7 linked regions of the Neurospora crassa OR74A genome follow. The protein of the gene in region 5 binds, or shares a complex with, the protein of the main gene of each other region. Links are inferred from orthologs where the notes say so. Each region holds a gene or a part of one and is shown on either strand. Other genes may lie near its edges. The genes, in order: NCU08728, NCU06542, NCU05717, NCU01761, NCU03827, NCU07386 and NCU02951.

Region 1 (3,583 bases), on a different chromosome or scaffold from region 5:
ACAGGGTGGCAGCCAGAATAGGACGGTGCTGACGATGGAGGATTTGGGCATGGCGGCAGGGGAGTTTGGGGTTAATGTGAAGAGGAGCGAGTTTTATCGCTAGGGGGGCAGTCACGGTCACGGTGCAGGACTGTCTGCTCTACTGATGAGAAGGGATGGGGAAACGGTGGGTGGTTTGCCTGAGTGTGAGCGGAATGGTGGCATGGCAGACCAAAGGATGATACTATCTTAAAGGGGCGGCAACAAGTGGTTACTTGCTCAAGGAGGAGGATATCAAGAGGATGATGCATCGATGGATGGATGGATGGGCAAAGGGTCGGCAATCAAGGGTCCAACACGGGAACGGTGCAAAAGGGGTTTGGGGTCATCGGGTCTTCTTTTCTTTTTCCTTTTTTTTTTTCCTTTTTTTTTTTTTTTTTTTTTTTTTTTTGCGCTTGGCGTTCAGGAGGCGCCGTTATGGAAGATTGCCATCGTCCTGTTTGCTCTCAGTGAACCCGTTATGACTACTAGTCTAGGCTAAAAATAATAATACCTGGCGATACTAGCATATTTTTATCAATTACAAAGCATAATTAAACTACACACTACACAACATATACATGTTCATCTTGAAACAACAGACACAGCACAGTAGTATGAATCCAAGCGAAAGTTCTAATTTGCCCCAAAATATGATATGTGTACAGAAACCTGTGCCCTCCTCTGACAATGGTATGGTATGATACAGATAAGCAACGAAAATATGCTTTTTTGTTTTTTGCCGAAATAAACGCCGCCCACAGAAAAAACGTGTCAAACCCGCATCCATCAATCAATCGACTTCTTCTTCTCTTTTCTTCTTCTTCTTCATCATCATCACTGAAGAGACGAACGAAGTTTGGTTTGTCTATTTCTTCTTACCCCAGATGAAGGGCTTGCGTGTACTGTTTGAGGTTTTGAACCATTCAGTTAGTGTCGGTCCAATTGTTCATGTCCATATGCCCAATGTGTGTCTTTTGTGTTGTTTGTTTTCTGCTGACCACACTGCACCACCGCCTACGATCATCATCATCCCGTGGTGGCGTCCAACACATGTCGCCCGTCCAGCCATTCATGGCTTGCCACCAGCCAATGCCATGGCCATGCCGTGTCAGACCATTGAATTTTGTGTAGGAAAATTCTTTTTTTTTTTTTTTCTTTTCCCACACCGCCAACATTTATGGCATTTCCGCCGCCATCTTAAAAAAAAAAAAAAAAGGAAAAAAAAAAGACCCTTTAAAAAAATAATATATTGAAATTGAAAAATAATAGTCAAAGAAGGAAAAGAAAGGAAAAAAGTAGACTAGTGAAAGTAGGGGAAGAAAGAACCAAAAAAAAAAAAAAAGAAAGAAAGAAAGAGCACTTACGCAGAAAACTCTCCAAGCTTATGCCCCACCATCTCCTCGGTGACAGTCAAGTCAATGTAGTCCTTGCCGTTGTGTACCTGGAACTTGAGGCCGACAAAGTTGGGCAGGATGGTGGCGGACCGGGCCTGGGTGCGGATGGGAGCGATCTTCTTGCCGGGCTCGGGGCGCTGGATGGGGAGACTGTTTTGTGTGTATGCGTTGGTGGTTAGTGCCCGTTTGCGCTCAAGATAGGTGACTATGCTTGTAGCGTTGCGGTTGGATTCGGTTGGACTGCGTTGGTTCGCGGATGGAGGGGAATGTCGCGGGATGGGCTCGTAGAGAATGATGGACATGCGCCGGCAGCTTTGATCGGGAGCAGGGAGGAGAGAGAGTCCTCGGGAGTGCGCCGGCGCATTGAATTGTCGTCGTCGTCGTCGTCGTCGTCGTCGTCGTCATTGAGATCGCGGGGACAGAAACGAGGGGAAGGGGTAGTAGAGCTTACGGGACAATGTGCGGACCTGGAGTCGGCGATGCGGGTTAGCTTGACTGTCTTGGACGGCGCAAAGAGTACATTATCGCAAGGTGAAGCTTAGGAGGAGACAAAACAAAATAACTTACCCTTCCACACGGATCTCTTGAAAAGAACCCTTGTTGGCTGCATGTTGGGCGCGAACGAGAAGGAATTCGGTGGTGATGGGTGGTGGCTGCAAATAGCGGGAAGAGGCCGGGCGCGTACGCGACACTCGGATGGTCTTGAGATCAATCGGTCGGTCGGTCGGTCGGTCGGTCGGTCGGTCAGTCAGTCGGCGAGTCCGGCAGGCGGGCGGGCGGAGCGGTTCCAGGTATCACGGCGACGGCGGCAGTGACGGGAGCGCTGACCACGGCCGAATTTTGGAACTGCCAAGCTTATCGGTTGCCGGCCGGCATACCTAGTACGGACGCCCCCGCTGACTCTCCCCCCTGGCTACCTATGTACGCAGTAGGTACTTCTACAGGGTTAGGGGGCATTCATCAAAGCGATTATCGATACAGCAAAAACCCCTGCACGGGTAACCCTGTCTATCGATATCTAAAAGCAACGCCCCCATAATTACACTACGATGATAACCCTCTAAACACCTCTTTTTGTCAAGGTAACCTACCGTCAATATACAGATGGATGTCAACCCTGCAGTGGAGAGGTACGGAAATCTTCAGTCAAACGGCACTTGCTTAGTGAGCAGAGAAAGCGGGGTCTACCTGATGGCAAAGATCAATTAGCATCCAATTTGTGTTATCGTGCATTTCTTGGGTGCGCAAGAAGAAGAAAATCTATGCACGATACTGCTGAATCTAATGCTATGGTGGTGTGACTCGTGCACCACACCCTACAGGTACCTACCCCTGTACTGGCAAGCCCCCCTGCTCGAGCAGCACTTGGGGCCGAAATCTTGGTGTTACTCGAACTAGGATACAGCAAGTATTATATGACTTACATACCGTTTAGCAAACCGGCGGCACTGGTTGGCACTCTCAGACACTTGCTGCCCGTGCTGCCGTCAATTGGTTCAGGACTAACGCGACTGCGATACTCCAAAACATAGCATCCCGGATTCCGGACTATTGGCATTCTTGGTGGTGGCCGATAACCGGCGTGCGTCCGTCGATTCCTGACTGCAGCTCAGTGGTTCACATCGATCGTGCACTCCGTCTTCTTCAGTGTTGCTCCTTCCTCAGCATTTCAAGTTCCATACACCTCGCCACCACTACAGTATGTATGATGTTTGTACATCAATGTAGGACGTAGTGTAGGTAGTTTAAGGCAGGCGTGAACTGCCGTGCTGTGCCTTGCCTTGCCTTGCCTGGGCATGGACTGGGCCGTCATGGATTCTTCGTCTAGGCAAGAGCGCCACCGCAGTCAATATATCTATCTGGCCGTGGTTTCCCGTTCGCGTTCACAACGACCTTCTTTTTGGATTTCACCATCCGTCACTCTTTTTTTTTTGTTTTGCGCATTTGTGGGTGTGCTTGCATCGTCGATGCCCTCAGACGAATGCCCCCCCTCCCTCTGGTCGGTCTGATCAACATTTGATCGGTTCACCAGTCTGCGCGCAAAGTCCGAGAAGGGCACCGCATTCGTTCTTCCCGCGAGCCACCTGAGAACAGGGCTGCATTTGTTTACTATCCAGCCAGCCATGGAGTTCCAACTTCCATCATCATCATCATCATCATCAAGCAGC
Region 2 (3,265 bases), on a different chromosome or scaffold from region 5:
GGGAAGAATGACATCGTTGGCGAACTTCTGGACAGTCTCAGCCATGGCGGTCTCAACCTCGGAGAAGTGGGTAATGGGGGTTGGCGGCAGATCGGTTATGTCCCGGCGAGGGGAGGTGGTGGAAAGAGTGCGAGCGCTATGTCGGGAAACCAAGTATTAGCACATCGCCTTCTCCCTCTTCCAGCCCATCTCTTTTGAGACCAGACCAGGCATGAGACGAGATGACAAAACTTACCATTGGACGACGGGAGTTCTGGAGAGTCTGGGAGCGGAAACTGCCTGAGCCCTGCGGACGGCGGGACGCAAAACCCTAGTGAACGACTTCATTGTGTCTGATGCGTATGTGTGATGATTAAAGAACCGATCGGAAACCTGGCGCGAGTGCTGTCTAGGAAGAACGAAGAGGACAGAGATAATGGAAGAAAAGAAGGCGGAAAGGGTATCAAATGCTTGGGGAAGGAGAACTGGAGGTGTGATGGAACGAGCTTCGGGTACTTATAAGTCGCTGGGCACGGTACAGCGGAGCTAACACTAACGACCAGATGAAAGATGTACTTATGTAGCTCCGTAACGATGATCCGTGGAGTATTGGATGGAAGGCAACAATGACAGCGTGGGCTCAAAATAAGGTGAAGAGAGTCCCGATTTCTCTTGACCTTTGCATCGTATGCATCTCCTACACCTTCGATGTGTCTAACCTGTCACTATGCATTTGATATACAGAACAGATCATTATCGCAGAAGCCCACGCGGTATTCGAGGAGATAGGTGCGTACACCTTGATAGCAGGATACCTACGGGCAACCGGGACAAGAGCTCTACTGTTAGCTCTCTCTATCCCTCTCTCTCTCAGTAATTCAAAAGCCAAGCCAGCGGGTAACAAAGGTCAATGGCATTGGCCGGCACACGGCCGATATGCTGTGAACAGCTGGGTCAAGTGTCTCCCCCTCTGCCGAGGTAAGGTCTCCACCATTCACAAAGCTCCGAATCGGGCGGTCCTCTTAAGAGGTCATTTTCCCCACAAAGATTTCCTTGGCCGGGGTAAACGGTGGCCACGACAGGGATGCATTTGGGGGAGACACGGTAGAGACGGGACATCGGAGGAGGGGCACTCTCTCTCGAATGGACCTTGATGATGGCCGGGCACGGGGCACGGCGAGCGGTGACCATTGTTGCTAGACCGTGGATCGTGACTCGTTAATCGCGAATAGCAAACCATGGATCGTGAGCGAGAAGGGAAAACAGAGCCAGACGAGCGATAGAAATGGAATGATGAGGTGCCAACGAACGAGTTTCAGAAAACGAAGGGGAATGGAAAACAAATGCCATGTGACTGTCAGTTTGTCGAAGGCTCACAGCTAACCGATGATTGCCGCACACGACTCGGAGCTTACCCAATGGCTTCCGTCCCTCAAGCACGGCAGTAGGTACGTACCTCTGCTACCTTCTTGGCTCAGCTTATCTCCACGTGTGTCATCCCGTGACACGAAAAAAGTTCCCACACTGGTACCGCCCGCCGCCGCCGGCCCTGCGTGCGCCTGCCGGGCCCGGCCTGGGGAACCGCTATCCTGTACTGTACCGCGTCCTGTTGCGCGCCGCGACCGACCGAACTTGACGATTTCGGAGCATCCCGCCATCAGCAAGATCCACAAGATCACAAGATGGCGACGACTTTCTTGCGGAACTTGTTTTCGCAGGCGCAGCCGTCGCTGCTACGACGGCCGCTGATGCCATCGTCCTCTTCCATCCTTCCTGCTGCTGCGCGGTTGTTCTCCAGCACTCCGGCGCAGAATGCCACTCTTAACCAGGTCATGAGGGTAAGTGATGATGATGAGGCTATCCCCAACCCGCCTACCTCTACCTACCTATGCACCTATCACCACTTTGGTTCCCGTGCTACTACCACAGCCCTATGTCCCGCGTCCAATTCAATCTGATCAAAAGCTAACCACTCTTATCTTCATTCCTCCAGGGTTGCCGTAAGCCCCAACGTGCTCGCCACGCCGTCTCCCCCGCCCTGTCCTCCATCAAGTCTCCCGCGCTCAAGGGTGTATGTGTCAAAGTCGGCATCACGCGTCCCAAGAAGCCCAATTCGGGCGAACGCAAGACTGCCCGTGTCCGTCTTTCCACGGGTAAGGTCATCACGGCCTATATCCCCGGCGAGGGCCACAACATTTCGCAGCACAGCGTCGTGCTCGTGCGTGGCGGCAGAGCCCAGGATTGCCCTGGTGTGAGGTATCATCTTGTTAGAGGTGCTTTGGATTTGGTAAGTTTTTTCCTGAGAAGAAAAATCCCTAGATGGAGACCCCTGGATGGAGGATGGGAGAGAAGGAGAAAAAGGGGAAGATGAGTGTTTAGTTTGTGAAAATGATGTGCTGACAAAGAATGGTGATAAAACAGGCCGGTGTTGCTACTCGTATGTCTAGTCGTAGCAAGTACGGTACCAAGAAGCCCAAGAAGGCCTCTGTTGGTTAAGCAGCTAGCACAACAGAGCACAATTGAGATGATACCCCCCCTGGTTACATGGCAGTAGGATGATGATGATGTGATGTGAGCGTGGTGGAGGTGGTTAAGCTTCATCCATGTAGTTCATCATTCCGCATCCTAAACTATGTGTCCGTGTACTATAAGGAAATAAAAGGTGCATGACAGGATATCGGCGTCCATATTCCTTGTATTACGACTGTCGAAGACTGGCCATGTTCAAGATGATACAACACCGAAGACGAAATACTTCGGGGAAGGACGGAGACACTGGACCAACTGTGTTGCTGTCAGCTTGCCTTTTCACACCTGGCAATACCAGGGTTATCTCAGCAGTCGGTAACAACGAACCTAACCCTAAGTGATTGTGTCATGATTTCCTTAACGCCCCTTATAGCCCTTCCCTATCCATCAAAACACTCAGAACAGGCAGCTTCGTTTTTGCCCAACCTTTCCCATTTATAGGTCCATGTTTCCAGGCAATTGGGTTGTACCACCAATTGAGAACGAAAAAGTCATTATAACGATAATACATTCTAGGGAATGTCCGCTTTTGGTTTTATTTGCAGACCTGTTTTCCCAACATAAAGCCTTAATCCCCACACCCTCAGAACTGTTTCTTCTTCGCCTCCTTCTAATCCGACTGATCTTGCCAGCCTTCTGGCTTCGGAAGACCATTAAGCTCGTAGTACCTCGAAGTGCCTGATAAGTGATTGGGGTCAGTGGACGGCTCAGTAAGAGAAGGGAACTTCCGGGTAAGACTTACAAGAATACCCCTTCC
Region 3 (3,806 bases), on a different chromosome or scaffold from region 5:
TTACTTCGACCACAGGTATATGAATGATCGGGAAAGGAAGCGTGGCCCAGATGATGCGTTGAATCAGTTGTTCGACCGTCTGGTCGGCGGTATGTCTCTTTGCCCCTGCCTCTCATTCCCCTCGAACTAACATCGATACAGACGAGGACCGAGCAGCAGCAGGAGCCGGAAAACCCGTCGAGGCCATCGGCGCCGAAGCCGCCCAAGCCTACATCTCCTCCATGGGCGCCAATATCGAAAACGTTGAAGCTTTTGTGGTCCTTGAGATCGTCCGCGCCGACTCCATCGGCCAAATCACTCGCCAGGGTTTCGTCGAGGGGTGGTCCTCCATCTACCTCGACCACCGCATTCCCGCAGACCCGGCCCACCACAGAAACTACGTCCGGATGTGCATCCAAAACCTGCCTCAAAATCCGGCCTACTTCAAAAAAGTCTACCAGTTCGCTTTTGGCCTGGGTAAGGAACCTGCCCAAAAGGCACTGGAGAAGGACGTTGCCTTGGTATTCTGGGATTTGTTTTTGGGCACCGAGTCTTCAGATACAGGACTAGGACCGAGGCCGTGGAAGAGCAAGAACGTGGATTGGCTGGGTGCGTGGAAGCGGTTTTTGGCGGAGAAGTGGACGAGGAGCGTCAACAAGGATATGTGGAACCAGACGCTGGCGTTTGCGGAGAAGACGATGGTGGATGAGACGCTCGGGTTCTGGAACGAAGACCAGGCGTGGCCGGGCGTGATTGACGATTTTGTGCTTTGGTGCAGGGAGCAGGGGATTGCCAAGGCGCCTGCACCGGGGGCAGCAGGAGGGGAGGGGATGGATGTTGAGGATTATTAGAAAGTTGGTCATGAGCATCCGGGGAAGGAGTGTAAAGGATGAAGTCAAGTGGGTGGATGTGGTTATACGGGGGGGAGCATATGAGGATGTTGGTGAGGACTCTTTCGCCTTGGCGCAGGGAGGATAAGAGGGGCAAAGAAGAGAAGCACTGATGGTCATGCTGTTGCCAGTTGATGCTGGGAGGGCTTTCGGGGCTCTCATGGCGGTTATCATCTTGTTGAGGTTGCTGCCATGGTGGTCAAGCGGCGCATCGAAAGATCAGAGGTTGGTTCGCAAAGAGCAAAGAATACATTTACACAGCGCATTTCCAGATACACAATACCGATAAGAGCATGCATTTACAACATGAAGGCCATTCAAAGGTGTATGAAGCGGTTGGGAATGTTTTTAGAACAAGTCTGATTTCTCATTGCTTCTAGACCACATTATAACCCTTTAGGAACTTTTAAAACAGCTTTTCTGGAGGACCATTACACCCAACAGATGTCTCTACAATCACCGAGGTGACAGCTGAAGAGTCGAGTAAACAACCTCTCTCCCACCCACCCTTGATGAAGTGTGTACACCCCTATCCGGAAGGCGGTCAACGCGGCAGAATCTCGACCTTCTTCCTGGACCCCACAAAAATTTCCAAGCAAGCGGCGGCACCCGGACGCCCACTCGCAACCAACCCGCTGCGGCACTGCGGCAATGCGGCACTGCTGACGGCAACACCCACCACACCCTACAGTACTTGCTGAGCCCGGTCACAACAGCAGCCACAGCGGTACCTACTGTGGGGCTCCGAACTTCTTATCGACGTCCAAGGTTCACTAGGTAGTACTATACGCGCTTTCGGCCGGTCGCAATCGCATCGCATCGCATCGCGAAACTAAACTTCTTTTTGCGTTCGTTTCTTTCCCCGAACCGATTGCCCGCCGCCCAGCCCAAACTACCAGACAGGATGTTGTATGAGACTATTGGTATTGTGAGTTACCCTAGGGTTGAACTACAGGAGCAGGTTAAGAGATTGGGGGTACAGAAAAGGAAAGGAAATGGAAAGGGAATGGGAGAGGAGAGAGATGGAAAGAGACAGTCTTGCTAATGATTGCACTTGTGAACAGGTCCGCCCGGGCAACATCGCCGAGGTGAAGGAGTATGTTTTTTTCCCCTTCTCTTTGTTTCCACTCGATAGTCCGTCCGACTTGAAGAAAACTCCCTCCGTCTTTCCTTTCCCTTACGAACCCGACCCGACCCGAACCGACCGATCTTTCTCTTGTCTTCTCTTCTACCACATCATCCACGACCCTACCTACCTATCACCCCGACTCCGACTCCGAACCCAACCCAACCATCCCATCCTCTACCAACCTTCCACACCTCGTCGTACTAAACAAGAACCAATAAAAAAAAAACAGACTCGTCCTAACAGCCGGCAAACTCATCCTCAACCAAGGCGGCGTCATCCGCGACATCAAGAACTGGGGCACGTTCCTGCTGCCCCGTCCCATCTCCACCAACCAGCAGCGCCATAACCGGGGCCACTACTTTGTCATGCGGTACGACGCCAGCATCGCGACGCACGAAGAAGTCCGACGCACCATGAAGGCCGACCCGCGCGTGATCCGCACGGCGAACGTGAAGTTGGGCGATGGCAAGCTGGAGACGCTGTCGAGGTTTGGGGCGATTCCTTGGAGGAGTTTAGAGGAGGCGTAAATCTGTATCTTCTGGACGGAGAGCAAAAGAGGGGGCGGGTGGGGGGGGAATGTGTACGATGGATGGACAGATGGATGGGAAATAATGAATCGAGTCGAATCGAATCGACATATATCCATCCCATCTCCTTACCGGCTTGTGTATACCAAAAGGGCCGTGATGAAGCAGACCGGACAACATATATGGACGGATGGATGGCAGGCATCTTTATACCTTCTTACCTCCGTCGACAGCAACAATAAAAACGACCGAAACACCCACCAATAACGATCTGGGCCTTCGATGAGCAATGGTACATCGTGAACGCACGACACCTGGATAGCAACATGGGATACATACATACAGACAGGCAGCATACGTATCCGAAATCTTCATTGCGAATGGGTTGCGGAACCATCCATACCCACTCAGGTTGAAGGAAGGAGGAACCTGACTCCTTTTCGACCCCGTTAATGGATCACCGTCGTCGATCAAGAAGTTCTGGCGTGAATTAGGGTGCACTCGAAACGGTCAGAGTATCATATCAGTCAAGCCAGCTAGAGAACAAACTCCCGGACCCGTCTTTGTTCATGTACGATAACGCATGTGGAATGTGATCCGCTAAAGAATACGACGCCATATTCAGATTCCTTAAAGCAAGGTAGTTCATCGGTCCCGGCTCAACAAGGATGGCTTGGGATTAAGAAACGTCAGACACGATCATATTAAAGTTACGGGTGATCTTTGAAAACTTGACGTGAGGGCTCTTCGCTCAAACTTCATCCTCGTTTCAGTTACCACACTTGTATGCTACACTACCTCCCCTTATCAAATGTAGTTGATCGATCCTCTCGAGTTCCCAGTTAAACACTATGATATCAGTCTCGCCAACACACGGCAACACACGGCAACAGAGGCATGTTCATATCACCAAGTCAACACACATCCAGAACCGGGGCTCACTAAAGTGAGATTTAATGTAAACCATCTCTATCAATTACCTTCCACTACTTTCACTCGGCTACCTAAATAATGAATCACTCCAGTCTTCCCTCTCTCTCTCTCTCTCTCTCTCTCTCTCTTCAAAACGAAAATTTTTCAAATCCAGTCTTTCCACCCACCATACCAGCAACGCCCGGAACAAGCAAGCAGTAAACTGACCACCACCACCACCACCACCATCACCAACCCCCTTGACGCTGCGTTTGTATCCTACCACTTTATCCCGGCGTTTAGACACAAAAGACCCGGTAGTGAATGCAAGGAAGAAAAAAAAGGAAACACAAAAAAACGAACAATAAG
Region 4 (4,195 bases), on a different chromosome or scaffold from region 5:
GCAGCAATTTCCCAAGACCCAAAAAAAGAACCTGAAACATGCAACTGAATACGTAACATACAACTAGAATACATACCTGCTGCAAGTTGGGAGACATCAACTCATCGGGAAGCTTCGTGTTCTCGTCCTGAGACTGCGAGAAACTCCTGGAAGCCGAAGCACGGCGCTCGTTGGGCGAGCCGGTGGATGCTGCGACGGCAGACATGGTCGTCTGCTGAGGGCTGGATGTTGAATGACCTAGCCTGAGGGGATTGGAGGGATGCTTTGGGTGCTGGTGTTTCACAATGGGAGGAGATGCTCAAGATGGTGATAGAGAAAAGCAGTAGATTTGGTTCCAATGGCGACGAAAGACACAGATAAATAGAAGCTTGGGGGCGAGATGACCACAAACCGCTTTTGAGAGAACACGGTTGGTGATGGCACCGACAAGAAGATGCAGAAAGAGAAGAAGCCTTAGAAATATGTGTTGATATAATGGGGAAAAGAGAAAGAGCTCCAAGAGCTGGTCTGGGACGGAAGAAAGAGTGTAAATGTGCCCGAGATACCCGTACTTTCAGCTACAGTTGCCCTGAAGTTGGACCTTCTCGCAAGGCAACAGCAACAAACCTCTTGGTGACGATGGACGCACCGGTCAGAATAGGGCTAGAGGTAGGTAGGTACCTCTAGGGTAGGTATGAGCCCGGGATGACCGAGACTAAAGTCGAAATGGTGGACCCTTGGCTCCCGAGGGAGGAAGGCACGATGGAACTGTGACCGGGACTGCCCAGGTGTCACTGCCCGGACACTCCAAGCAAAAAGGGGTTCACGATGCCTGTGAGATAATCCGCAATCTCTGTGATCAAAGCTCACTTGGGCTGCCATCAGATGATCTGACGAGTGAACGCACATCGGCTCGTCCATCCGAAGATCGGAATCGAATATGATGAGTCGCTGGGGAAGTTGCGACCGGTATTCCAGCTAACGATCATCGGCCTTTGGCGTCGTGCCTCCCGTCCTTGTGCCTAGCGGGATCCTTATCACCAAGCCGAAGTTTTTCACGTGTCGCGGGGACGTCGGGCATGATGGTCAACCGAGCCAGCGATGAGACATCCTGCCGCGTTAAGGACCTTGCTGTCCGGCTGCCACTTCCCATACGATCAACGGGTTTCTGGGTTAGGCGTCCGAGCCCCAATGACATATTCCGAGTTCATTAGGCGGTATTCATACCTAGGTGTTCATGTCACCTGCCATTCGGTGTGATCTACCATTCTTCGTCGGAATGAAAATGAGTAGAGTAGGTAGGGAAGCATGCAACGTCTGGAAGCTTCAACAAGACAGCACCATCACCTAGCATCGTGGACATTAACAGATAGGAGTGGCGGGTCGGCTTTTCTCGTCCGGTAGGGCTGGGATGCCAAGGTCTTTGCAAATTATGGTAGGTGTGATTAGCTTCCTTTCCTATCCATTTTTATTTTGGAAAAGGCTTGAAATGGAGCAGGAAGAGCCAGCGCACCTTTTCACATTCATGGCGTTCTTTGACATGGACGGCTTGTGCAAAGATCTTGGGTGATCCGACACTCGCTTGTTGTTTTCACCCAAATGATCAAAGCTGTTCGTAAAGAGGGACAATGGCGAAGGGTCATATCCTCCCTCAAGCCCATCCGCGCTATGGAATCAAGATACGGTATCTTCAGCTTATCAACAGGCGCTTCTTTGTTCGATGCATCAAGAGACTTGTGTAGACGCATGGGAGGACAGTCCCGAGATGAACCTTTGACAAAGCTGGTAACCACAAACCTGCTTGTCGAACTAGGCGGCTATTCAACACCATTTGAAGGGGCAAGTGCCGCGGGCGTCGCTAACCATATGTACAGTTGTGGCAGCACCTCGTCACGGGGAGACTGTGATGGCATCAAGTACTGAGCGGAAAAATGCATGTCGAAATGGACCAACTGCCGGAGGAACGCCAGGTATTCGGGGTATATGATTCTAGTCCGCCCACTATATGATACATGTACACGTCGTGTAGTTCTGATTTCGGGACGCCGTGTCTTATTTCTTCTTCTTCGCATCTGTCGCAGAATATGAACGTTAGAGATTTGAACCGTGAGTAAGAGGTGCAGACGAAACCCACCGGCCGCCGAGGGTGCCGTTCTCTTCTTCTTGGGCGCTCCCTTGTCGCGGGCTCTCAGACTGTAAGGTATGGTTAGATTGTGATGTTTGCAAGTAAACACTAGCAGGAATGAGAGAGACGAACGCTGCCAAGTGCTCCAAACGATCATCATCGACCTCATCGTCAACCTCGAGACCAAGAGTACCGAACTCCTTTTGAAGCTCGCGAATACCGACGTTCTTGCGGGGGTAGTAGGTCGCAAGTGCCGGGCCCTTGAGTCGCTGACGCAGGATCTTGTTACCGGTCCGGATGCCTTCGGGATTGAAAGTCGTCGAGAAGAGCTCGCAACGAGCCTAGGTATAACCTAGTTAGCGAACTGGTTTTTCCCCTCATTCGGAACTGTTCCATACCTTCACAAGTTGCAGTAACCGCGCCCGTGGGACCGACATCTTGCCGTTACATGGAATTGCGGATTCGCGAATTCTAGAAACAGCAACAACAAGAGCCGCCGGATTGTTCGACGTCGTTCAGAGATCTCCCGCTCCAGCCCGTCAAGCAATGCGCCACCAATCATAACCATTCATGGGTACAAAGAGTGGGGCACGGACTGCAACCGTTGTTTTCGAGCCGCAGTGTCCCCGGGCCGTCAGCGCAAGCCCGCTGATGAAGCCGAGGGCGGCGCGTTCCAGGGCTGACAGGCGCTAAGAATGACAGCTACGGGCCATAACAGGGCAGCAGCAGCGCCCTGATGTGGATCTGGGGTCGAACAGGGGGTTAGGGTTTCCACTACGCAATGGCCCGGGATTCGTTCTCATCTTGAAGAATCCGTTTTCGATTCTGCCTCTACAATTTCATCGCCGCATCAACGCGCGATCTGAGGCATTCGGATTGCTTGTAGGAAAGTACAATCTTGCCATGCCGAAACACGGACCCACCCCGGAGGAGGTATCAGAACCGCCCTCCAAGCGTGCGAAGTCAGACTCTGCACCATCCGCATCACAAGGCGCTACATTGGAGTCCGCAACCTCCGTCCAAATTCCTTCTTTGCATGCCAATACCAAATGGACACTCGCTACCATCCAGAGAATGCGGCCACCGCTCCCCGACATTCTGGACCCGGCACTCAAAAAGGCGGCGCTCACACACCCTGGTAAAGCTAACAACGACCCTGTTGCAAGTTATGAGAGGCTGGAGTGGATTGGCGACGCTTATCTTGAGCTCATCGCCTCCTCCTTCATATATCAAACTTTCCCGACCTTGCCGGCTGGCAAAAGCGCACAACGTCGCGAGATGCTTATCCGCAACACCACACTAGGCGAATTCTCGGTCTATTACGGCTTGGACAAGATGGCCGATATCCCGGAAGAATTCAACATGGAGGGCAGAGTGGGCGGTACAAACGCAAGTCAAAAAGTCAGAATTAAGATTCTCGGAGACCTTTTCGAAGCCTATGTAGGAGGCGTGATTCTTTCTGATCCTGCCAATGGGATTCAGCGTGCTTCAGACTGGCTCAAGGCCCTATGGGGCCCTCTCATGGCGGAGTACATCCGCGAGGAAGAGAAGAAGGCCAGGAAGCCGGAGCAAAAGCAATCCGCAAGTGGCCAGACACTCGACCCAAAGACAGTACTCGAAGCTACCATTGGAGCCAGGGGTGTCAAGATCGAGTATAAAGATCTCCCTTCCAAAAACCTGAAGGACAGGGGAACCAAGCTGCCTCTTTTCGCTATTGGCTGTTTTATGACAGGCTGGGGGGAGACCAACCTGCAACTTGGGCACGGAAGTGCTTTGAGCAAGAAGGAAGCTGGTCAGAAAGCAGCTCAAATGGCCTTGGATAACAAGAAGCTGCTCAAGAAGTTTGCGGACAAGAAGGCGGAGATGAAGGCCGCGCGGGAAGCCCAGCTGCAGCAGGCAGGAGTGACGTTCCCCTTGAAGGATCAGCCTTCGGCACAGGAAACCACTGGCGGCGTGCTGTAGCGACCAAGTACTGTTCGGTCTCATATGCCCCTGATCTTTAATACTTCGACACACCAACCATCACATGCCCGTAGTCTCGTGGTTTACCTCGGGCGTCGGCCATGAGAAGGACGCATAGCAGATGAATTA
Region 5 (4,267 bases):
TCTCCAGTCATATTGCAGAAATATTGTGCAGCTTCCATAAAACCATCGTTATGTATCGACACCATCAAGTAGTGATTTCAGACGAGACGGGACCGCATAGGTCTCATCAGCTGCCAGAAGTCTCCCAATGCGTTCATCTGGCACCAATCACATCCACAAATTGGGTGATTTTGCCATGACAATCCAGGTCAAAGGGAGCATACTCTCGACCACCTCATACTACATAGGTCACTTATATACGAACGCGAACGTGAGCACTGCAGTGTATGGACCTCTGACTACCTATTCCGACCTCATTACGGGCCAAGCATAATGGGAATGGTGGGACTTGGGACAATAATAAAGCATGACAAATGGTTACCAAACACCATCTTATATAGGATCCTTACAGTCCCCCAGGGCCCTCGGGCGAGGATGCTGAACACGGATTGCACTCTGCCGCCACGGGAACGGAATCTGAAGTTCAGAAAACGCGGTTCTGACAGCGCGGCTAACCCACGTGTGCCCTGCAGTGCGTATCGTTCCCACCTAATCTGTGAGATGGGAGTTGTTCGGCATGCCTCTTACACATTGGATGTAACCCCCGGATGGTTCATGACTTGTAGTCGCACGAATCAGTCAACCCATCACAAGCAAAACCCATGTCAAAGTTGCAGTGATGCCGGTTGAAGAGGCCGGGCGTCGAATCGGTTTGCATACCTTTTTTTTCCATGGCAAAAAGAACCGTTGTAACCCCCCCAGCACACACATAGATTGTATTATACACACACAACAAGGTCGTGCCGGCCCCCCCCTAACACGGTTTGTTGAACCCCTCCTGTACAAGTACACGCGTGCTTGCCTGAGATCGACCTGTGCTGAACTTGGTAGGCCCAGGCGAGGCCACAAGCGAGACGGACACTCACATGCATATCCACATATAGAGTACGCACATGAGAGAAAATGCTTCCCAGAAAGAAAGGAGCTGTGATGCTGCGCTGGTGGGGAAAAAAAGCATCGCTCCATTTGACTGGTCGTTCGTGCATAAACCGAAACTGAGGCAGCATATTCACAATGCCCCCCCAAAAAACGAAACCCATCCAATAATACCGCAAACTGTAGCAGGAGGGCGATTATCTCTTGACCCAGGTAGGCATCTTTCTGGCCTTGACATGGCCGTGTTTCTTTCTTTCGACCTTCCTCGGGTCGCGTGTGACACATCCGGCTACAGTAAAAGAAAGAGGGACTTGTTAGCAAAGGTGCATCATCCCTACCTACCATACCGCGAAAGCCTGTATGGCGAGGCACAATCATAGAAAACCAAAACATGTGTAATGTAGTGCGAAGCTTACCCCTTCTTAACGCCGGCTTCAGAGCAGGCTCATGAGCCAGCAAGGCCTTTGCGATAGCCAGCGTAATGGCCTCCGCCTGACCCGTGGTACCACCACCCTCCACCTTGACCCAGACGTTGTACTTGTCAATGCGATTTGTTGCGCGCAAAGCCCAAACAGCGCTCTCGCGATCGTGAACCCGCCCAAAGTACTCGGCCAAGGTCTTCCCGTTGACCAGAACCTCGCCGGTACCCTCCACCACGAAGGCCCGAGCACTCGAGGCCTTTCTCTTGCCGACTCCACAAGCGCGGCCAAACTGGTCAATCGGGATCGGCTTGGCGACATTTGTAAAGGGTTGTACGTTGCGCCTGAAGCTGTCGAGCACATCCTTGATCTCTTGTGGCTTAAGGTCGGGGTGGATCGAGTTGAGCCGTTTGACGAGAGCCAGACACCTTGCGAACTCGGATGCCTTGACCTGCTCGCCGAGCTCTTTCCTGATATCCTCGAGCGTCTTCCAGGCCACGCGCTCGACGGCGGTCGCGGGGATGACAGGAAGGTCTTCGTACTCCTCCATGAGCTTTTCTAGGGAAAGATAGTTGTCGTAGAACCGGGGCGTCCGGGTGAAGTACGAGGGCGACACGGGGACGGCACGGGCATAGGGATGGAGTTTGAAGTTGTCTATGCTGAGCGCAGGGGCGGCGATGAATTGGCCATCTACGTTCGGGTTGTGGTCGTGGGCGTGGGTGGACAGGGACCTCGAGCTGATGCGCAAAGCGCCGAATTGCTGGTCAAGCGACTGCCATTGCGCCGACTTGGAACAGCCCTGGCGGGAGCTCCGAAGAGCACTGGTAATGCTGTGTCTAAGAGATGCCATCATTCATAAGCGGCTGTTCACCTCTCGTACATTATCGGGCCCCGAGGGCTACTGGATCGGGAGAGGAGTGGGATTGGGGTTCGGGTCGAGGTGTGGTCGGCTCGCCGATGGGTATCTTTGGGGCTGTCGGGGGCGAGGGCAGGTCCAGCGCGGGCAGTGGTCAATCAGGTCCGGACTCCGGGTCCCGTCTGCGCGTCGTGGGCCGTCCCGCGGCGGAACAATTCGCAAGAGGATTTTTCCACCCGGCAAGCGGAAAATGGGAGCTCGGACCACCCATGCTTCCCACTCAAGCACCGCACTCACTGGACCCGACCTCACCTGGGCTCCCGTCACCTTCCCCTCCACGCATGCGGCCCCGACAGGGGGACCATTCCGCCCGGCAGGCAGATAAGACAAGATGCCCGGCAATCAAGCGGCACCGTTTTCCATGGGCTGGAAGCCTGGCAGCCATCAAGGCATGGCACGAGGGAACTGAAAGCACAGACAGCGGAAGTGTGAATCACTGGCCGAAAGCATACCTCGCTAGGTACCATCAATGGAATCCCATCTGGGCAGCCTTCCACAGCCGCCAACGGGCCGGCGGGCGGTTAAGGTACTGAGCTCTCTCATGCATTCTGTCGAGTTCCAGCGCTGTGAGGTTCTGATGTGAGGGGAAGCAACCCAGCCGCCAAAACGGGATGCAGGCTCAGCAGCCAGGCAATTTCCCCGCCACTGCCGTGGCCGCGCGCATGCCCCACCACAGATAAAATTTCCTCTGTGTCTTCCCATCCACATCATCCATCGCACAGATCCCTTTTTATTTGCTTCCCCGTCACCCCTCTTCTTCCCAAACCCATCTTTCCTCATCATTGATCAAATTATCAAAGATGGCCTTCGGAAAGCTTTACACCTACGAGGTAAGATGAGCAGAATTCAGAGATTGCGGCGCTCGTCTTGACACGGCGGGCGCCTGCGGACGAGCGCCGACATTCTAACAGATTCTGCTCACTAGGCGAACCCCCGCTCCACGGCCATCTTGGCTGTCGCGAAGGCCAACAACCTCGACCTCGAGGTTATCAAGGTCGACCTTGAGGCTGCCATCGAGGAGTACAAGAAGGTCAACCCTCTCGGCAAGGTCCCCACCTTCGTTGGTGCCGACGGCTACACTCTCTTCGAGTGCATCGCCATCGCCATCTATGGTACGTTGACAGAATATGTTGGGCGTCAAGCAAGACTGCCCTGCCCCGCACTTTGAAACACGCATCAACTTTGCGCCAGATACCCTCTGATGTGCTAGCGCACAACCCCTTGCCCCTTCGACCTGATGACCGAGACATTTTTCAAACAGTTATCCCTATCTGAAATACGGTGTTGACTTGGTTCTAACTTCTGACTGTCGAACTCACTCTTTGTCCTCCTGCAATTGCCACGTATCTTGATTGGACAGTCATGGCTAACGGACAACAGTCGCTTCCCAGAACGAGAAGACCACTCTCCTCGGCAAGACCAAGCAGGAGTAAGTTTATGATCGAGCATCCAAACCTGTGCAATCACTTGCTAACGCGTGGTTCAGCTATGCCTCCATCCTGAAGTGGCTCTCTTTCTTCAACACCGAGGTCCTTCCCCCTCTTGCTGGCTGGTACCGCCCTCTCCTTGGCAAGGCTCCCTACAACAAGAAGGCTGTTGAGGACGCTCAGGCTACTGCCCTCAAGGCCATCTCTGTCGCCGAGGCCCACCTCAAGAACAACACCTTCCTCGTTGGCGAGCGCATCACCCTTGCCGATCTCTTCGCCACTGGCATCATTGCCCGCGGCTTCGAGTTCTTCTTCGACAAGGCCTGGCGCGAGCAGTACCCCAACGTCACCCGTTGGTACACCACTGTCTACAACCAGCCCATCTACTCGGCCGTTGCTCCTCCCTTCGCTCTCCTTGATACCCCCAAGTTGACCAACGTCGCCCCCAAGAAGGCTGAGGCCCCCAAGCCCGCCGCCCCTAAGCCCGCTGCTGCTCCCGCCGCTGCCGCTGAGGAGCCCGCTGAGGCCCCCAAGCCCAAGCACCCCCTTGAGGCCCTTCCCCGTGCCTCTTTCCCCCTCGACGAGTGGAA
Region 6 (3,840 bases), on a different chromosome or scaffold from region 5:
GCGAGACATGACATGGCATGGCATGGCATGGCAATCGAGACACCGATACACTCACTCTGCCGTCCTTCACCGGTGCTCGGTTTACGTACCTACTTTTAGTAGCTACCGCGCTGAAACGAACCAGTGAGGTCTCGGCCAGGCAAATCTGATAACCTAACAGTCAATAGTCAAGATTCAGTTTGTCACCGATCACTCGGCATGGAGCCTGAGGCCTTGCGAAGGAGGAGAAATCAGAGGCTGAAACTACAAAGGTAGAAGGGCTACAACTGGCAGCGGTCAGGTATGTTTTCAACAGCTGATGTGTCGTGGTAGTTACCTAGTGAGCTGATATCGTGAAGGAAGCAGACATCATGCGGAGTAAGGAGTAGTCGGACATGTAGGTCCGTATGAGGTCCTTAGGAGATGTACTAAAAAGTTTGGTCAAGTAAGCAGAGAAGGTTGGATGTCGATGTCACAATGTGCGTCCATCTTTCAAAGTGCTATATTTACAATTTGCATTTGACCTATCCGTTTGTTGCTTCGTTGCCGTTATCCTGCTTTCCTCTTTCACACACACACACACATTTGGTTCATTGGTAATATACACATGTAAAAGTATAGATGGCAGCTGCCGGGGCTGGCTTGGTTTTTACTTTCCTTTCTCTTTTTCCGGCCGGTCTCACCGTCATGCTATCCTATCGTACAGAACAACTTTTCCCTATATATCCGGGTTCCATATAGACAGACAAAGTCACAGAAGTAACTTGGGCAGCAACCGTACAATAATCCATCTCCATCCCGTTCCACTCGCTCTTTCTACCCCTCGGACAAGGTGACAGCCGTCGGACTGTCGATGGCGGCGGCAGGCATGGACTGATGGACCAGTAGTCGCGAGTAATTCAGAACCAAAAAGTCGAGGCTTAAGCTTTCACGCTCCCGCTTCACTTCCTACTTCAATTCCTCCTCACTCCTCCCTCCTCTTCCCCCGCAGAATGGAAGCAAGAGGCTAAACAGAGCTATCACCGCCCGTCAAGATCCTAGTCTCCAGCCTGGCCTCCTCCTCGACCTTGGCCCAATCAATCATGTTCCACCAGCTCTGCGCATACGCCAGCTTACCACCCATACCACCCACACCAGTTCCGTATTCGCGAAGCCACGCGTACTCCCACGTGTTGAGGCACAAGATCGGAATCAAATCAGTGCCGCCGGGAGCCGTAGGTTCAAGCTTGTTGCCCTTGAACCCAGCTGCGCTGCGCTCGAAGAAGCGCTGGCCGTTGCTCAAGCCCTGGGGGGAGCTCCCGATGGAAGTCTGGGCGTCCATCTCCTGGCGGCGCCAGTGGGCGCCCGGGTAAGGAGAACCAGCCAAGTAGGTGGCCATGACGCGGAGGGCGACGGGCTGACCGGGAAGCTGGGTGCGGACGAGCCAGACGAAACCGGGACCGAACATGGAGACGGCGGTGCCGATCATCTCGTCGCGGAGCGTGTCGACGGAGCCGAAGTTCTCGTTGATGTGGTAAAATAGCTTGTCGCCCATCTTGACGGGGACCGGGGACAGGTGGTCGAAGAAGAAGTGGTTGTTGTGCGCCATGGAGGCGTGGTTGAACACATGGGCGAGCTCGGGGTCGCGTGCGGTGGCGAGGACGATGGACTTGGTGTCTTTTTGCTCAAAGTCGGTGCCTGTTTGACGAAAGAGAAGTAAGCAAAGTGGTTTGTCGGTTAGATATCTCCCATGCAGCAAAATAGGTGACATCATGTCTTCCCCCCCGGATAGGCAGGGCATGCTCTGGCTTGAGCTTCAATCCGAGTCCCCTTCCTTCTATTTCCTCCACCAATTCCTTTGTGGCCTAACCACTGCGCTAATGCCTCCTCTTCCTCTCAGGCTTAACAGCATCCCAGCTTGGCGTTTTCGACCAAAGGATACCAATTCCTCGCAGCCAGTAATCCTCGCACGTAACCTTCATCCATGCCATGCCGTGCTATGCCGTGCCACATGATAACGCAGCGACACCAAATTCCCCAGACGAGTATGTTCTGTGTTGCTGTGTCATCCGTACGTACCTACTACAAGCGCGTTAAGCTTCTCCAAAATGAAGGTCTGGTACTCGGTATAGGCCATGTTGACGGAGCCGGGGCTGAGGAAGTTGCGGATGCCCTCTTGCTCGAAGTTGTCGCGAAGCGGCATGAGGTAGTGCTGCCATCTCCTTTGAGCGGCGATGCTGGCGCCGGCGACGGCGGACTGGTTGGTGGCGACAGCGTTGACGGCACGGCCGAGGAGCGAGCTTGTCGCACGGGGTATCCTTAGACCCATGGAGCCGATCATTTTGTCTGTTGGGGTTTTTTTTGGTCTCTTTCTCCGCAAGAAAACGGCCCGGGGGTCGGAGGAAAGGTTCGGTGGAAGGGAAGGTCGGCCGGTCGTTCGGTCGGGGGAGATGGACGGTGGACAGTGTGTGTGGGGGGCGGACCTTGAGGACGGACGGAGACAACTTCAAGACTGGACGGGCTGCCGGCGCAGAGCGGACGCACTTCAGAACACACGGGCACTCAACCCCGGAAGACGGTCGAAGTGGGACGCGACTTTCGAGACTTTTTTTGCTCCGCTGCGGAAGGACCCGGCCATTGGAGCAGGGACCAATCGTTGGGACGAACTGGCGGCCGGCAGCCTCACCGTCCTCGCAAAGAGCCAGGTTTGACCCTAACCCTGGATGTTATTGAGAGGTACCTACCGTCCTTGGTGGGGTAGCTGTTTGCCAATTCCGGAGTTCCGTACTTGGCGTTCACATTGACTTGCGTCTTCAACCGTTTCGATGATGTACTGGTGCACAGATACTGGGCATCTTTCTCTACTTTGCTCGTGTATGTGCTATGTTCATTATCGTACTTTGACCGATATTCTGTAACGCTATTGTAAAATAATTCCGTGGACGCCGTTGCTCGAAGTCCGAACAACTAACAATAATCACGAGGCGAACTGGACGCCCTCACCGGACTTCCCCCACCAGTACTACTTGACGCCAAAAACGACCCGATGATGCAGTATCCCGAACAGAATGAGGAATATAAACAGTGAACACCGACACCCCCTTTGAATCAATTTCCCTTCCTTCCCTGGTCATTCAAACGTCGTCCTCCACCATCGCAAGAACATCAAGCTCGTTCCTGACCATCCGCTCGAACTCTTCACGACTGATGCCAGCGCCGCGTGACAGCTGGAATAGACTTCGAATCGTCCTTGAGACGTGCTGCTTAACTCCAAACTCGACTCGATCTTGCGCTTCCGCCGTTTCTTCGAGCTTGGCCACCATGCGGGATCCGTTTGAGCTGGCGCTACTGGCTGGGCGCGGATGAGCAAGGCTTTCCATCCTCTCCTCGTCCGCCTGGGACATGCGCCGGCCACTTGAGTCAGAACCGGACTTATCAGAGGGTGATCGGGATGGAACGTAACCGCCGTTGCCGTCTCCGTTTAGGCCCAATGGCGGCGGCGCTGGTGCGGACTTGATGACAGGCGGCTCATATGCCTGTTGTCTTGGCGACGGAGACCTGCGAAGGGGGAGACCATTAAGCGGTGCACCACCCCCCACAGCTCCGCCCTGGAAGGCCTCCTCGTCTGGATCATGGGGGTCCATGGCTGGCTGTACGGATTCGTATTGGGCGAAGTACGCATCTTCGGCGGACGGACTACGCTCAAAGGGATGGGGTTTTTGAGTGTTGAGGCCGGCGCCCAAGGACGGCGGCGCAGGAGAGCGGCCTTGACCGGGAGTTTGGGAAGGCGTGGCATCGTATCGGCCCCAGTAATCATCGTCGTCATCCTCTTCAACCGGTTCAGCTTGGACGGATACTTGGGCAACTGGTTTGGTTTCTGGC
Region 7 (3,839 bases), on a different chromosome or scaffold from region 5:
CCGAAACAGTCTCGTGCTGGTTCAGCTGCGGCCAAGGCTGAGCCGGTTCCCAAGGCAGAAGAAGCTGTTGAGGTGCCCCTCCCCACTGTGACGGAGACTCCTCAAGAAGTTGCTCAGCCGGTAGAGGAAGCCACGGAAGCTCCCCAAACCCCCACTTCTGACGTTCATGTTGTTAAGGAGGAGATGCCAGCCCAGGAGACTGAAGCCGCCCCCTCGTCCGCTGCCGAGGTTGTTGATACCACCGATGCTGACATCTAGGAGCACGGCGAGGAGAAGTCTGCCAGCACTTCGGAATTTAAGCACACTTCTGATTCGTAAAAGGAAGCCAGAAATGGTGGATGTGATCGCTTTTTGGCCTGTAGAGTCTTTTTTAATCACCCCTATTACTTGTTCGAGACAGTGAAAGAGGGGGATGCAGTGTTACTGGGTTAGCACATTTCATGATACCTTTGTAGAAAGACCAATCACACATTTGTAAGAAAGTTGGCGAAGCATGAAGTATGAATGCATAGCAGATAGTGGGTTGTACAGCACCCTGGAGCAGGATGAATCGATCCCTTTTCTTATCAATCTTGGTGATATCTGTTTCCACGGTGAGTGCTGATGATTTAGTTGTCATGCATAGATCATAGCATACAGGATGCCAGCTCGTTGTCTTTCTTGGCCTCATACCTCATATTCACATAGCAAGAACCAAGGATGAGCTCTGCTTTGCCAATGTCTATTCCTTTCCATGTTTGTCCAGTCTTGCTAAGTCGTCTAGTGTACAATGGAATCACATCCGTATCGTACACTGCGCACAGAAATGGTTGGCTCCAGTTCAGGTTTGAGATCCTCCCAAAGTGCGGTGACTCTTCCTCCTCTTCTTCTATTCCTCTCGCTTCCTTCCCAACAATGCCTTCCTTTCACCGAATTCATGTCCTATCCCCACCGTCCATCCTTGAGACCCTCCTCCTTCTTCTTCTTCTACCCATCTATTTTACCTTGCACAAAACCAGCCCACCAACTTTCCTCTCCACTGCCTCCCTAACCTCCAACACACCTCTATCAGTGTTCACAAACAAACACTCGCCCAACTGCAACCCCTTCATGTATCCCGCGGGAAAGCCCCTCGCCACACGGTTCAGCTGTTCCAGGGAGGCAGTCACCAGCCTCGACGGCTTCGAAATCGGCTTCAGCTCCTTCAAGACGGGTTCCTCGTTCCAGTACTTGAGTCCCACCCACAACCGGCGCGTGGCCACGTTGGCACTGGTCACGGGCTCGGGCTCGTAGGTCATGAGGGCCTCGGGCGTGGGCGGGTGAGGACCGCCCCGCGTGATGGAGGAGATGAAGCCTGCGCGGTGCAGGGCCAGGGCCAGGGCGAGGTTGTACTTGGTGTTGGGCAGGGAGGTCAGGCCCAGGCGAGCGCGCGAGGCGTTTTGGAGGTGCGAGCACATGTTGGTGATTTGTTGAATGCCCATTTTGAAGGTTTGATGATGCCCGTGTGGGACTTTTGTGTTGCTGAAGAGAGAGAGAGAAAATGGTATGCACTGGGTGATGGGTTATAAAGAGAGAGAAGTCGGCCGTCGTCGCGTAAGTCGTCGGGTCGATCGGCTGGTATGGCTTGGTCCGTCCGGTGTAGAAGTGCTCGGGAGATGCGGCGGCGAACTGGGGACCTTGCGGGATGAAGAGAAGGATGATGCGGGATGAAGAGAAGGATGATGCGGGTGAGGAATCGGTGCTGCAGCGACGGGGCGTCTTGAGGTTAGTCTAGGCGTGCCGATGAAGATTCGCGGGACAGAAAAAAAAAAAAAAAAAAAGGAAGATTGCAACGCACAACCAATCGGGAGACCGTAGCTGTTGCGCACAGTCGGGTGGCCGTCACGGGTCGGTGGTCGTGATGGAGGAATTCGGACTTCGGAGGAGCCGTAAAAACAAGTGGAGGTTTCGGGACTCGCGAATGCGGCGCGCAACGGGGTCCGGATGCGAATTGCGGTTTCGAGGTCTCGATCGGGATGGCTCCGTTAGGTAAGTTGTGCTGCCGATTTTTTGTCCCCCTGCTGCTCTGTCCGCTTCTGCCGTACGGCACTACGTACGGGCTGGCGGGCGTGCGTGCGTTTGCTTGGCCGCCGGGGCCGTGTGGAGGACGGACAGGGATGGTTCGAGAAAAGACCTCAGGCTGAGCGTTGAAAGAGTGAATGACCTCGGGCAATGACCTCCACTGTGCCTTGCACGAAAGTCACTGCAAAAGAGACCCCTGCTGCCCTGAAAGGCCTCCCGTCCCTCCGCCAGAGAGACCAGAAGGTGTCTGTCCGGTGGGGCTTTCTTGGTAGCTCTCCAGGTTTATTGAGGATGGATCCTGCTTACCCCACCTTTTTTCTTGTCTTTCCCTCCCGCTCCTTTCCCTCCTCGTCAATTGTGAAAGAAGGACTGGAGAGTGTGACAATTGACTTGCTCGTGCTTCTTTCTTGGCATCCCACCTTAAGCGCCCAGGCGGACCATCCAGTGACCATCCAGGACGATGCAACCACCAGGCAAGGTCACCTCTACCGGCACTAGGGGTCGCATCACCGACCTATCGTGCGCGCTGGTTGGATGGCTGTGTGCTGATTGCGCCATGGAGTGAGAGCCGAATGTGAAGAACCAGACCACGGTCTCCTGCAAGGGTATGTAAGAGGTAGGGTACTATCGCAAAGACGCGGAAGCCGAGTGGCTTTTGTTTTCTTTGGGTTCCGTCATCTCTGATATTAGGCGTGATAGCCCTCGGGTGGGAAGCTGAGAAAGTTTGCTGTCTTTCAGTTCTCTCAATCCTTTTTACCGTTGTTGTGTTGTTGTGTTTGTTCACTCAAGCGAGTTCGTTGATCACAAAAGATGGCCGCCCGTGAGGGAGAGGAGAACGTCGGCACGTTGTAAGTTTGTCTTCCGTTGATCCCATAAAGAGGTGATAGTTCCTGGGCGCATTCTGACTGATTGATTCGCTGCATAGCTTTGGTGATATTCACTACTTCTACGGCCCTCCAACAAATAACCCGCCTCATCACAGGTTCGACAAGGGCTCCTATGTATACCTTTTCGAAGATGCCAACTTGGGCCGCGCACGGCTGGAGATTGCGAACCAACCTGGAAGGGAAGACCAGGATGCTTTCGATGGCTGTAAGCATTAGGATTTAGAGTGAGAGCTCGAGACGACAGTGGGAAGGCTAACATCATGTGTCGCCAGACCTCGACAAAACCCATCTCGAGTACGATTACAACCACACCTGCCTTGTAACTTTGACGGTTGGCGAGGTCGAGGGCTACGAGGAGTGGCATCTACCAACATACGACCCTCACAATCAGGCCAAGTACCATTACAAGCTTCACTCGCTCGACATTTACTTTCACAACCATCAAGATGCTCTGCAATTCGTCAATGGCATCCGACGTGTGCTCCCTCCGCACCAGTGCGATGTCCACAACGAGCCAGGACCACCACCTCGGCACGATACCGAAGTCAGCGCGGTAGTCCAGCAACTCGAGAGGGCAGCAATCGCTGACCACGGTACACCCCCGACCACTTTATCACAGCCTCCGCAAGTTGGCGCAATCCAGTCTTTTGCTCCGCCGCCCATGTCTGCAGTGTCTGCTTCCCACGATCACTCGACACCATCGCCTCAAGCATTTGTTCCGATGGCCTATAACCCAGCCGCGCCACCTGCCGCCGAACCCGTACGGTACCGCGAGAAGACGCCTCCCCCAGAGGATGCCGCGGTGAACCCGTTGCACCAGACTCTGGCCTACGATGCGACCACTCCCTTCTCACCAGGCCTGCCTCCCCCCAGCGGCCGCGGACCTTTGAGCCCAGGCATTCCTCCGCCAAA

What was found.
Region 1: NCU03827 (region 5) and NCU08728 share a complex: the UniProt entries of both Saccharomyces cerevisiae proteins name them as parts of the mitochondrial small ribosomal subunit. The link is inferred for Neurospora crassa OR74A from reciprocal best matches to the Saccharomyces cerevisiae genes MRPS9 and RSM19.
Region 2: NCU03827 (region 5) and NCU06542 share a complex: the UniProt entries of both Saccharomyces cerevisiae proteins name them as parts of the mitochondrial small ribosomal subunit. The link is inferred for Neurospora crassa OR74A from reciprocal best matches to the Saccharomyces cerevisiae genes MRPS9 and MRPS12.
Region 3: NCU03827 (region 5) and NCU05717 share a complex: the UniProt entries of both Saccharomyces cerevisiae proteins name them as parts of the mitochondrial small ribosomal subunit. The link is inferred for Neurospora crassa OR74A from reciprocal best matches to the Saccharomyces cerevisiae genes MRPS9 and MRP17.
Region 4: NCU03827 (region 5) and NCU01761 share a complex: the UniProt entries of both Saccharomyces cerevisiae proteins name them as parts of the mitochondrial small ribosomal subunit. The link is inferred for Neurospora crassa OR74A from reciprocal best matches to the Saccharomyces cerevisiae genes MRPS9 and RSM27.
Region 6: NCU03827 (region 5) and NCU07386 share a complex: the UniProt entries of both Saccharomyces cerevisiae proteins name them as parts of the mitochondrial small ribosomal subunit. The link is inferred for Neurospora crassa OR74A from reciprocal best matches to the Saccharomyces cerevisiae genes MRPS9 and RSM26.
Region 7: NCU03827 (region 5) and NCU02951 share a complex: the UniProt entries of both Saccharomyces cerevisiae proteins name them as parts of the mitochondrial small ribosomal subunit. The link is inferred for Neurospora crassa OR74A from reciprocal best matches to the Saccharomyces cerevisiae genes MRPS9 and MRPS8.

Annotation. Positions count from the first base shown.
Region 1 is NC_026502.1:3,811,513-3,815,095, reverse strand, and holds NCU08728 (mitochondrial 37S ribosomal protein RSM19), read right to left. Parts: upstream 2,405-3,583; 5' UTR 2,026-2,404; coding exon 1,983-2,025; intron 1,883-1,982; coding exon 1,867-1,882; intron 1,566-1,866; coding exon 1,386-1,565; intron 924-1,385; coding exon 887-923; 3' UTR 635-886; downstream 1-634. Other genes in the region: NCU08729 (transcription initiation factor TFIID 23-30kDa subunit), read left to right, coding at 1-103. UniProt on the Saccharomyces cerevisiae protein: Component of the mitochondrial ribosome (mitoribosome), a dedicated translation machinery responsible for the synthesis of mitochondrial genome-encoded proteins, including at least some of the essential transmembrane subunits of the mitochondrial respiratory chain.
Region 2 is NC_026504.1:1,584,250-1,587,514, reverse strand, and holds NCU06542 (putative mitochondrial 37S ribosomal protein MRPS12), read left to right. Parts: upstream 1-1,518; 5' UTR 1,519-1,661; coding exon 1,662-1,817; intron 1,818-1,972; coding exon 1,973-2,266; intron 2,267-2,400; coding exon 2,401-2,475; 3' UTR 2,476-2,656; downstream 2,657-3,265. Other genes in the region: NCU06543 (acyl-CoA dehydrogenase), read right to left, coding at 1-136, 236-327; NCU06541 (alpha-1,2 mannosyltransferase KTR1), read right to left, coding at 3,119-3,186, 3,251-3,265. UniProt on the Saccharomyces cerevisiae protein: Component of the mitochondrial ribosome (mitoribosome), a dedicated translation machinery responsible for the synthesis of mitochondrial genome-encoded proteins, including at least some of the essential transmembrane subunits of the mitochondrial respiratory chain.
Region 3 is NC_026503.1:614,198-618,003, forward strand, and holds NCU05717 (mitochondrial 37S ribosomal protein YmS16), read left to right. Parts: upstream 1-1,511; 5' UTR 1,512-1,773; coding exon 1,774-1,797; intron 1,798-1,933; coding exon 1,934-1,965; intron 1,966-2,227; coding exon 2,228-2,525; 3' UTR 2,526-3,224; downstream 3,225-3,806. Other genes in the region: NCU05716 (hypothetical protein), read left to right, coding at 16-89, 142-830. UniProt on the Saccharomyces cerevisiae protein: Component of the mitochondrial ribosome (mitoribosome), a dedicated translation machinery responsible for the synthesis of mitochondrial genome-encoded proteins, including at least some of the essential transmembrane subunits of the mitochondrial respiratory chain.
Region 4 is NC_026502.1:2,520,304-2,524,498, reverse strand, and holds NCU01761 (hypothetical protein), read right to left. Parts: upstream 2,746-4,195; 5' UTR 2,542-2,745; coding exon 2,503-2,541; intron 2,446-2,502; coding exon 2,237-2,445; intron 2,173-2,236; coding exon 2,114-2,172; intron 2,052-2,113; coding exon 2,032-2,051; 3' UTR 1,493-2,031; intron 1,401-1,492; 3' UTR 627-1,400; downstream 1-626. Other genes in the region: NCU01760 (pumilio-family RNA binding repeat protein), read right to left, coding at 77-205; NCU01762 (nucleolar RNAse III), read left to right, coding at 3,008-4,066. UniProt on the Saccharomyces cerevisiae protein: Component of the mitochondrial ribosome (mitoribosome), a dedicated translation machinery responsible for the synthesis of mitochondrial genome-encoded proteins, including at least some of the essential transmembrane subunits of the mitochondrial respiratory chain.
Region 5 is NC_026505.1:2,536,150-2,540,416, reverse strand, and holds NCU03827 (mitochondrial 37S ribosomal protein MRPS9), read right to left. Parts: upstream 2,820-4,267; 5' UTR 2,188-2,819; coding exon 1,332-2,187; intron 1,205-1,331; coding exon 1,113-1,204; 3' UTR 250-1,112; downstream 1-249. Other genes in the region: NCU03826 (elongation factor 1 gamma domain-containing protein), read left to right, coding at 3,051-3,080, 3,176-3,362, 3,631-3,679, 3,737-4,267. UniProt on the Saccharomyces cerevisiae protein: Component of the mitochondrial ribosome (mitoribosome), a dedicated translation machinery responsible for the synthesis of mitochondrial genome-encoded proteins, including at least some of the essential transmembrane subunits of the mitochondrial respiratory chain.
Region 6 is NC_026501.1:6,129,504-6,133,343, forward strand, and holds NCU07386 (Fe superoxide dismutase), read right to left. Parts: upstream 2,570-3,840; 5' UTR 2,300-2,569; coding exon 2,038-2,299; intron 1,657-2,037; coding exon 986-1,656; 3' UTR 525-985; downstream 1-524. Other genes in the region: NCU07385 (hypothetical protein), read right to left, coding at 3,093-3,840. UniProt on the Saccharomyces cerevisiae protein: Component of the mitochondrial ribosome (mitoribosome), a dedicated translation machinery responsible for the synthesis of mitochondrial genome-encoded proteins, including at least some of the essential transmembrane subunits of the mitochondrial respiratory chain.
Region 7 is NC_026501.1:8,605,782-8,609,620, forward strand, and holds NCU02951 (mitochondrial 37S ribosomal protein MRPS8), read right to left. Parts: upstream 2,252-3,839; 5' UTR 1,817-2,251; intron 1,721-1,816; 5' UTR 1,461-1,720; coding exon 975-1,460; 3' UTR 522-974; downstream 1-521. Other genes in the region: NCU02952 (hypothetical protein), read left to right, coding at 1-258; NCU02950 (hypothetical protein), read left to right, coding at 2,851-2,888, 2,966-3,132, 3,200-3,839. UniProt on the Saccharomyces cerevisiae protein: Component of the mitochondrial ribosome (mitoribosome), a dedicated translation machinery responsible for the synthesis of mitochondrial genome-encoded proteins, including at least some of the essential transmembrane subunits of the mitochondrial respiratory chain.